Saccharomyces cerevisiae S288C: one gene and its partners. The gene in region 2 interacts genetically with the main gene of each other region. Each region holds a gene or a part of one and is shown on either strand. Other genes may lie near its edges.

The links.
Region 1: mutations in INM1 (region 2) and CNN1 together harm fitness less than expected from each alone (positive genetic interaction), as found in Saccharomyces cerevisiae (one large-scale study listed by BioGRID).
Region 3: mutations in INM1 (region 2) and ESBP6 together harm fitness less than expected from each alone (positive genetic interaction), as found in Saccharomyces cerevisiae (one large-scale study listed by BioGRID).

What each region holds. Positions count from the first base shown.
Region 1 is NC_001138.5:242,455-245,896, forward strand, and holds CNN1 (centromere-binding protein CNN1), read right to left. Parts: upstream 1,706-3,442; coding exon 620-1,705; downstream 1-619. Other genes in the region: MRX20 (Mrx20p), read left to right, coding at 1-545; BNA6 (nicotinate-nucleotide diphosphorylase (carboxylating)), read right to left, coding at 1,825-2,712. UniProt on the Saccharomyces cerevisiae protein: Component of the kinetochore, a multiprotein complex that assembles on centromeric DNA and attaches chromosomes to spindle microtubules, mediating chromosome segregation and sister chromatid segregation during meiosis and mitosis.
Region 2 is NC_001140.6:196,738-200,096, forward strand, and holds INM1 (inositol monophosphate 1-phosphatase INM1), read right to left. Parts: upstream 1,549-3,359; coding exon 661-1,548; downstream 1-660. Other genes in the region: DDE1 (Dde1p), read left to right, coding at 1-496; AAP1 (arginine/alanine aminopeptidase), read right to left, coding at 2,003-3,359. UniProt on the Saccharomyces cerevisiae protein: Responsible for the provision of inositol required for synthesis of phosphatidylinositol and polyphosphoinositides.
Region 3 is NC_001146.8:390,377-394,136, forward strand, and holds the start of ESBP6 (Esbp6p), read right to left. Parts: upstream 1,792-3,760; coding exon 1-1,791. Other genes in the region: NAF1 (RNA-binding snoRNP assembly protein), read left to right, coding at 2,516-3,760.

The DNA of each region.
Region 1 (3,442 bases), on a different chromosome or scaffold from region 2:
AATCGGCGATGATCGATCATAAAAAATTAGAGAAGAATCAACCTGTAGTTAACGCAAAGGCAACCTTTCACAAGGTGGCGACTAAATCTACTCCTGTGGCTCGTATCGAGAAACTACTTCCAGCGGTAAAACACATGTATCAAACAAGAGGCCCTGCTGCGTTCGTCCAGGGAACAACAGCCACCATATTTAGGCAGATAGCTAACACCTCTATTCAATTTACTGCATACACAGCATTTAAACGGTTGTTACAAGCAAGAAACGACAAGGCATCCTCAGTAATAACGGGGTTAGCCACATCTTTTACACTCGTGGCAATGACTCAGCCCATTGACGTCGTAAAAACAAGGATGATGAGTCAAAATGCCAAAACTGAATATAAAAATACCTTAAATTGCATGTATAGAATATTTGTTCAAGAAGGCATGGCCACATTCTGGAAGGGCTCCATCTTTAGGTTTATGAAAGTCGGTATTTCAGGAGGCTTAACGTTCACTGTTTATGAACAGGTTAGTTTGTTACTAGGCTTCTCTTCCAGGTCTTGATAATTTTGTGGATCTTTTACTCTTTTCTGTACATAAATTGCCACTATTTAATTATTTTCTCTACGGTATCTTTTTTAGAACAAATAACTTTCAATTCTTGATTGAAGTTCTAAGGGAAGCAATTCGTGCGCGAGCTCAAACATATCATCAACGTTATTGATAATACCCATATCGATAAACGAATCTACCAATTCCTGTTTTTGTAACGTGCCGATTTTTTGTTTCAAGAAATCCATTATATTTAAAGATTCCTCCTGTATAGTAGACCACGTTTGTTTCGGCAATATTATCCTATTCTCATTCAAAAATTGCCTTGTAAGATGTTTTAGATCCATTATTTGCAGCGGTTTTATAGAAGAACGTCTCACCGCAGGGACATTTAAACGGATAGGATCGTTGCCTATATCATCCAAATTTTCGTCACTGGTGTTTTCAAACGAATAATCTTCGTTTTCTGCTTCTTCTGTCTCCTCTTTATCGTCGCTTGGTAAATCTTCAGATAGTGGTTCTTCCTGTTGCGTTATGGAAATTGGTACCGGATCACGTACTGGCGGTTCATCTACCTGATCCATTCCAATGCTTGGCGACGTGCGCAAAACTTCCATAGAGATACTGTTAGCTTTATCTGGAGAGTGCACTGTCAATTCATCCTCGTGTCCTGTCGTGGGAACATCTTGTATTATTATCGGGTCAATCTTCCTACTTTTCAAGCCTTTGTCTCTTTCCTGCAATTTTGCAAATACTGTTTGCGATAAGGAAGTATAATCAGGTTGCGTTTCATTGCCAATGTTGTTATCTGTCAGTTTCTCACTTCTGCTCCGAAGAAGCTCATTCTCCTCTGGTTGGCTCTCTTCGTACGCTAATTCATCTATTAGATTCCGTGCTTGAGTTTTATTAGTAGTTGTATCGTTGCCTTGTGATTTGCGTGCTAACACTTGGCTTAAGTCTTGTAAAAAACTTCGTACTTCGTTCGGATCTTTATTGAGGATGTCATGAGACTTAGTAGAAGCAGATAAAAGTTTTCTATAACCTGGCGTATTTCTGATCAGTACCTCATCCTTGAGACGTTGTTCTTCAAGGGCTCTCTCCCGAAAGGGGGTTCTGATCTCTGAGACTTCTGTATTCTCGTTGTTACCGGCGGCCTTCCTGGGAGTGCTCATTATTCATTTCTTATTTCGTTACTAATCGTCGTGTGTGTCATTAATCGGTAACGCGTAGCTTCTTAATCTTATTTAGAATATGTAAATAAAAAAAAGTAAAAATCGAAGCCTAAGCATTTTCAATGAGCCAGTTTCAATGAGAAATCAATCACTGGTGTGCCTTGATGAATGCTACTAGTGCTGTAAATGTCAATGTCATCGCACAAATACTCCTCGAGGTTGTCCAAATTCAAGCCTCCACTACATTCCAAGAGGAAATGCTTTTTACCATTCCATTTGTTCTTAAGACTTTGGGCGCACATTTTCAAACCGTCACCTTTGAAATTATCCAACATGATAACGTCTGCACCAGCTTCAATGGCCTCTGTGGCTTCATCTTCACTCAAACACTCCACTTCGATCTTCACAGCAAACCCGCACACGGCCCTGGCGTTCTTAACTGCGTTTGTTATAGAACCAGTAGCCCAAATATGATTATCTTTGAGCATGACCATAGAGGAAAGGTCGTATCTGTGCGTGTCGCAGCCACCTACAAGCATGGAATACTTTTCTAATCTACGTAAACCTGGTGTAGTCTTTCTTGTCCCCGCAATGGTCCCCTTGTAACCAGTCGAACGCGCCAAACTGATTATCTTATGTGAGGCGGTGGCAATTCCACTACTTCTACTAAGGATGTTCAAGGCGGTTCTTTCAGCTAATAGAATGTTTTTAGCGGGCCCAGTAATTTTAGCTACAACAATCTTACCAGAGTCATTCTTCGAAGGCTCCAAGAAGGAGCCTTCCTTAAACAACCACTCAACTTGCAATTCGCACTGATTAAAGACTTCTTGCGCAAAGGGGACACCACACAGCATACCATCCTGCTTACAGTACAAATTGGCCTCCTTTAGGTCGGAACCAACAACATATCCACCAAAATCAAAAGAAGGAACGTCCTCGCTCAGCCAATTGGTGACGTCTTGTCTCCATGCTCCATTAACGGGCAATAAGTGTTCATAAACAGGCATTTTTTTTTTTTGGTGTGTGTTCTTTCTGAGGATTGCGTTCTTTTTGTTGCGTTATTAAGTGGTGTCTTTAATTTTCGAATTTATGGCCCAAGATATACGAAAACTGCGGTAGGAGTCATGATAAATGGGGGCTCTTCAACCAACCGGCGTCACCAAAAGCAAAAATATCCTGGAGCGAAATATCACATTGTTTGTAACCAAGCTTGTACCTTTGACAAGTTAACTTACGTCTTGCCGGGGTTTGCTACTACGCATTCAAGTATATAAAACGTTGTGACACACAAGTTGATAGAAACCTCAGGATGTATAACTACAATTCTAGTTTCCATCTCATTAGTCCCAAATGACAATAAAAAAAATTACTGGCCATGGAAGATGACAAGCCGAATATTAGCTCCTTCGATCGAACTGTGCGTGGAGAAGAAGCTACTACTATTTAATAATTAGTATCCCGTGATTTTGAGCTGTCGCTGGCATTATGTACCTGACATTAGGTATTTAGGAAAGGTAGGGTAGATCAGTTTAGTACCTCAATGGGTGCGGAAGGTTAATCTTGAAAAATTTGCGATTAGTAGACAAGTTTATTCTCACAAGAACAAAATATTCAGTTCATTTCAGATATGATCGTGAAGGTGGAAATCTTTTTTTTAAAAATGAGAAGTGTGCCCAACAAAGAAGTAAAAGACAAGTTAGCTTTCTGTCATGCTTGAAAACTTTATGGAAGCCTGTG
Region 2 (3,359 bases):
TTTGGCAGATAATGTGAAAGATGCTGAGGTTATTTCGACATTTCCTGAAAAAATTCCTCAGCTAAAAAAGACTAACCGAAGAATCACCCCAAGCACTGAACAATTGAATAAAATAAGAGCTCAATTAGGATCCCGTGTAGTCCTCGAGTTATATTGTCCCTACGCTATCATGGGACCTGTGGCACATACCAATTTTTATGACTATAGGGTTTTTGGAAAATCTGTGGACGATAACGTTGTATGTTATGGAACACTAAGTACAACATTAGAAGGAAAAATGGTAGAAACGGAAACAAACCCTCATTTGAACATAGAGAAGAAGCAGGGTATGTTATGTATTCGTGGTTTTAGCATAGGTAAACCAGTAGAGTCCGATCGTTTAGAGAAAGCTTTGCATTTAGCTGAAAGGTTTGGAGGAGGTGAAGGATGGATGCCTCTAGTTGGCGTTTTTGGACTATTTGGCCAAGACGGTTGCTTATACATCTATAATCAATGAGCATTATCTATCGCTTTATTATTTATTATTTATTATTATCATTATTATTATTATCATTATTATTATTACTACCAATACCTTCTATATCCCTGTGATCAGCTAAAATGATTCAAATAACTGTCATTTTAATCGTACATTTTATATTAGGCCTAATGTGCTGACGATCAGTCATATTTCAAATGGCCATCAACACAGTTCCAAAAGTCTGTGATATATTTTGTTTGTTCGTCACTTTCGTTATTAATTGTTCCCCTCACAGCCAAATATGTCCTATTGTCGACATCAATACTCCATTCACCTGGATTGGCACCTACTACACGACCGCCCACTTCTTTCAAAATACACCATCCAGCACACACGTCCCACGAATAGCAACCACCATCCCAATAACTATCAAGGTACCCCATAGCAATATATGCCATTGTCATTGCAGATGATCCTAAATTTCTGAATCCATGAACAAAACCGTAATCACATGATAGTAATTTTTCATATGTGGCCATTTTTGTCTGAAAATTCTTTCCCTCTCTAGCGGAACCTGGCTGTAATGCCACTACGGATTTATTTAGTATTAGAGAACCCATAGATTCCAATTTTGATTTATAGTCATAGTCCTTGTTGTTAACTCTCATCCCATTTCCTTTAGAAGCGGATACCAGAAGATTAATGTGAGGATTATATATAACGCCTACTACGGGCTCTTTGTTTACTGTGAGCCCAAGAGAGGTACAGCTAAATGGGAAATCATGAACAAAGTTTGTAGTCCCATCAATTGGATCAATAATAAAGGTAGGATCATCAGTAATCACGGTCTCCCCTTTCACATAACTTTCCTCTCCAATAAACTTGAAAGTTGGATATTGGGTTTTTACCGATTCCCAAATTAACTTTTCGACCTGTTTATCGATAGCAGTTACAATATCAACGCTCCTGGAGCCAGTCTTCAAGTCATAATCCTTTTGAGTGCCGGACTTGGATTTGATGATTGGTCCTACTTTTTCAGTAGCCAGTTCACAGAGGAATTTCTCGATAGAAGCTAGATCAATGGTCATGGTATATGTGTATATGCGTGTACCAGCTGTTGATTTCCTTATTCATCCAAAAAAAAGAAAACACTGGGGTTATTTAACAAGCAGTTAAATGTGAAGTAAGAGATAAAAGACCTATATTAATACCATTTTTGGAAAAGCAACGTGCGCAACAATGAAAGTCACTCGATGCATCCATTATTCAAAAAAAAGTTTTTTTTTTTTTTCCATACATCATCAGATGAAAAAATCTCGCTATGACGCACGCCAGTCAATATTCACTCAGTTCTTCCGAAAGGAAGCAGAAGAAAGTTCTCTATACTTGGAAATGTGTCAATGAAGATGTTATCAGATTCATTTTCTGCTAGCTACTATATTTCTACATAAGCAAGTAGTAATCTCTTTATTAATTACACGTGGTTTTGACTCATTGGCATATGTATATATTTGTGTTGTAGGTGCTCGTGAAAAAAAAAAGCTATTGATCATACTCATGCTCACGCAAGTAGGTAGCAACGATTTCACGATCTCTGCTCACCCATTGCGCCTTGGATCTAATAGTGTCTAAGGCTTGAGCCAGGGTTTGATCAAAACCTTTAGTGACCTTTCTACTATAGAACGCACTAATTTTTTCAAGGGCTTCAAAAGAGGTAAAATTAGTTAAACCCAATGTCAACACGCCACCCAACACAGGCGAGCCTGGCTGTAATCTCTTAGCAATTTCGTCCCAGTGTTCTTGCATCCAAGCCCATAACCTTTCAATACCCTTCTTATGAACTCTAATGCCTTGCATTGGGATGTAAAAATCTTGATTCAAAACTGTACCATCTAGCAGATAAGACAATGTCCTTTCTAAAAGTTCTTTGTCTTCAAATCTGCCCAAAGCTCTCAAAGCGATAATCTTTTCTTCTGACGAAACAGGGTTTTGATAGATGTTGAAAATCTTTTCGTAATTGTTTTCTCCGCCAAGTCTGGCAACGGTGTTGAAAACAACTGCCTTGAACAGTGCAGGTATGGCCTGTTTGTTCCCATTGGCGTATTCCTCAAACATTTCTACCGCAATCGATTGCATTTTTTCATTGCCAGAAGTGCATGCGGCACTGAAAAGGGTCACTTTTAAACGTTGGATAGCAAAGGAGTCGTCTTCGCCAATATTCCACCCCAATTCAGAAAGTTTGTTAAGTACTAGATCCAAAGTAAATTTATCTAGAGCATTCAATATATCCTCTGGTTCGAAGACCCAAGTAGATTTCAGAGCGGATAAACTATTAATGATTTGTTCCCAAACAACAAATGAATCCTCGTTTTTCCAATTAGAAATTAAATTCAAGAAGTTAGTAGTAGAGGTATAGCCAGATGCAGAAAGGGCTTTTGCATCTGCGACTAAGCCAACACGATCCTCTACGGATAATAAATTTGCCTGTTTGGATAGCTTAGCCCATCTTTCGTCAGAATAAGAGGTAATGAAAATACCAGATTGGTCACCATTAATCTTGAAGAACTCTTCATTCTTTAATTCGAAAGTAGCAGATTTTTCGTTCAATACCAATGTGTTATCGATACCTGTACTGTCTTTCAAAGCTAACAAAATGGGGTATATGGTTGTATCTTCCTCTTCTTTAACATCACCGGTACTTAAATAACGGTGTTGAGTTAATGTGATTTTGTTCTTGTGTTCCTTGACAGATAACACTGGAAAACCAACACGTTTTGTCCAGATGTTCATCACCGAACAAACGTCCTTGCCAGAGGCATCTGCTAAGGCGTCCCACAAATCTCCGGTCTTTGCATTACCGTATTTGAATTTATTCAGGTATTGGGACACACCTTTAATA
Region 3 (3,760 bases), on a different chromosome or scaffold from region 2:
GGCAATAAAGCAGCAACCGCAAAAAATTTGTGCATGTAAGTAAGGATTGCTCTTATCTTTCTCCACCGTCAATGCCTGGGCAATCACCTCACAAACCAATAAGAAAGGCGCACCACAGTAGTTGACGAAGGCCCAAGCGGGCAAAAACTCTTCTGGTTTAACCATATCGGCAATCAGAACGGTATTCATGACGTTGGCGACACCAACGCATGAGCCAACTAGAATTGAAAAAAAGATGAGTTGAACAAACGTATGAGCGGGGATCCAGAACGCAAACATATATATTGTTAACAAAGTGGTTAATACGATCGTTACGTTTGCCCTACCAAACTTATCTCCCGCTAAACCCATCAGAGGTCTTCCGATGGATTGCGAGCCGTTCAAAATGGCAGTCAATGTGGAAGCGTCGTGCGATGATAATCCTTTCGAGATTGCGTATGAAGATAAAGTAAAAACCATCATATTGTAGGCAAATAATGCGAACATGAACCATAATGCAATAAGTACCACAAATGGCTTAGTTATAACCTTTAATGAAAACATTGCTTTGAGCTGTTCAAACATGGCCCGAGGCGATTTCAATCCTATGGCAGGTGTAGGGTTTCTTTCTTTTAAGAGCGCAATAGCAACTAGAACACTTATGCTACACGATATGCCTATGATACGAAGGCACCACCGGGTATTTCCAAAGTCAGAAAGCATTTTGTTTGTAGCCAAACCGTAAACGACACCACCAGCACCGGTACCCAATAATGAGACACCCATTGCGACAGCTCTTTTTTTCAAGAACCATCCTGGTAAGACGGTTGTTGCTGGAACGAAAATCAGTGATATTGAACAACCGACCATAAAACCTTGGGTGACATACAATTGCCATAACTTGGTAGTAAAGGAGGCCAAGAGATATGCGGCAAGCATTACAGCATCACCAAAAAGCATGGTGGTCCGCAGACCAATTATTCTCATCAGTGCCATCACAAGGGGGGATAAGAGTTGACCGAGAAAGACAGTTAGGCCAGCAATTAAGGCATAATCGTACTTCGAAGCACCAGGGTAAGTATCATGGTTTAAGTAGTAGGCAAGGTCGACACCGAAGGATGCGTTGCAGCCCCACGTGGAAAACATGGTCAAGAACACACAGAATGTCACGACCCAGCCATAACCACCGTCGGGGGGCAGTTCCAGCTGCCCGGTAGACTTGTTGGTGAATACTTTTTTTACAGTCGGTTCATCAGGCTCGAATTCGGTTATTCCTTGGGCCTCAAGATCCTTACCGGAGTGTTTCGTGGAAGCCGGATATAGTCTATTCCTCATGAGTTTGGAGTCCATGGAAGCTTTATGTTCTGTAGTATCATTTTGAATAGAAGAAGCAGAGAAAGCAGAGGAAGATGGTGCCGACAACGAGGCGCCTGCAGTCGTGGTGTGTGTGACTGGGATGTTTAACTTTGACTGGACTGACTCATTGTGCTGTAGCCTAATGGCATCGGCCACGTCAAATCTAGATTCTAATATTTTATTAACGTCTGCGGAATTTTCTTCCGTCTGCAAGTTGTCGTCATCGACAGCCTTTTTAATGTCGTTGAGCCGATTAGTTAACGTCCTACTAATAGACAATTTTCTCGATGCATCGTTCGACTTGGTGCTGTGTAGATCAGAGCATGGAACCGGAGCAGCAATAGAAGCCTTAGAGAATGATACAGGCTGTGAAGAGTTTATCGAAGAAACCTCGGACGATGTCTCAGAGACCATTCCGGAAGAAGCAGAAAAGTAGTCGTTTGAGTGCGTTGACATTTTTCAGATTTATTTTCAGAAGCCCCGTAATTATACCTAAAGAAAAAGTAAAGAAAAGTGGAGAAAACAAAAGAAAAAGATAAAACTTTTAAATATGTGGTGTGACAAATGCAAAATACTATTCTGACTCGCACATTTAACTAACAAAAGAAAATTTGTCTAAGTCTAGCAGCTTTGGTAGAATATAGAAGAAACAGTCTAGTTTTGGCTCCGATATGAGTGGACAAAGCATCAAGATCTAAGGAATGCCAAGTATTTATCCAGGTTCTCCCGAAGACTTTTCTTCAATAGCGGCGGGGGTTTTTTTTTTTTGCAGATTGCCGAGATAGCCCGCGGCAAAGATACGTTATCTCGGTTATCGTCGGCAAGCGCTATTGTAACTAGATATAGGAAACTGTGGTCTGCAAAGATGCGGTATAAGGCCTCCGTCTGTTCTTACTGCGTTATCAGCCTTTGACAGTTTTAGTTCGTCAGGGTCTTTGACCAAATGATAAATTCCCTGGTTTACATTTTCACTAGTTTGTTCTCGAGCAATGCTTAGTTGGCACATAAATGAGTCAGGCACTACCACTCGGGTAACGGTCTGCGCGTTTCTTTTTGCGGCCATGAAATTTTTCAGGCGATGAGCTTAAAGGTAAAGGAAAAAGATGGTAGGATGATAGGTAGGATGAAGCGGTATGAAAGTGGAAGAAGCACAATATAGCACGTCGAAACAGTGCTAATCATGAGCGATGACTTGTTTTCTAAGGCTTTGGAGAATCCCGACCAGGACTTGAACGTGGAATTGCCCAAGGATGATGTTGATTTAGGTCTTTTAGGTGATGGTGGGAACGAGAGGAAGACCGATGAACCGGTAGCAGACGCAGAAAGATCAACAGGCCTAGGATCCGGCTCTTCTGAATCCGAATCAGATTCCGGTTCTGATTCTGATTCTGATTCTGGCTCTTCAGGTAGTGAGGATGATTCTGCAGATCAGGACGTTGAAGGAGAGGACGAAGGTGGTGACGCGATTGAAAATGAAGACGAAGACGAAGACCCTTCACCTTCCGGTCCTATACTATCGAAGAACGAAATACTAGAGGAAACTGTTCCTGAACTACCGGAAGATTATGAAATTTCAGAAAAAACGATCATCACTCCTATTGGTGTTTTGAAGTCTGCATTTGAAAATAATATAATCATTCACGCCACGATGTCGGGCGAAAAGCGTGTTTTAAAAGAGGGTTCCATTTTCTGTCTCGAGGATAGAACTTTGATCGGGATGTTGACGGAGGTGTTTGGACCCTTGCAAAACCCATTTTATAGAATTAAGTTGCCCGATTCAAAAAAAAACTTATTCGATGAATTAAAAGTGCGTTTGGGTGAGAAAGCCTTTATAGTCACCCCTGATGCCCACTGGATAGATACTTTCGAGTTAAAGCGCAACAAAGGTACTGATGCGTCTAATGGGTACGATGAAGAATTACCTGAAGAGGAACAAGAATTTTCCGACGACGAAAAAGAGGCCCTTTTCAAGAAAATGAAGAAACAGCAACGGCAACGAAAGAAAAGGGACAACCGCAAACTAGCCAACGATAGTGACAATGTCAAGGTAAAGAGAGCTCGGCAGCCCAAGGCCAACAGTTTACCTAAACTGGTACCGCCGTTGGGCATGAGCAGTAATGCTCCGATGCAACATGGGTACAAATCAAGAAACGCACGTGAAAATATCAAGCGTGAATCCAGTGCTACCTCTAATCGGAATGGCTCCTCCCCAGTGCCAATCACACAGCACCACCAACAACAGTTTTCTGCAAATAATTATCCCTTCCCTCAACAACCAAACGGTATGCCTTATCCACCATACTCACCTTTCCCTCAGCCGACTAACTTCCAGTATCCACCTCCACCATTTGGGCAGGCGACACCGGCCCAATTCTCCAACACTGTTCCATATGGTAGCTTACCTCCCGCATACAACAATATGTCG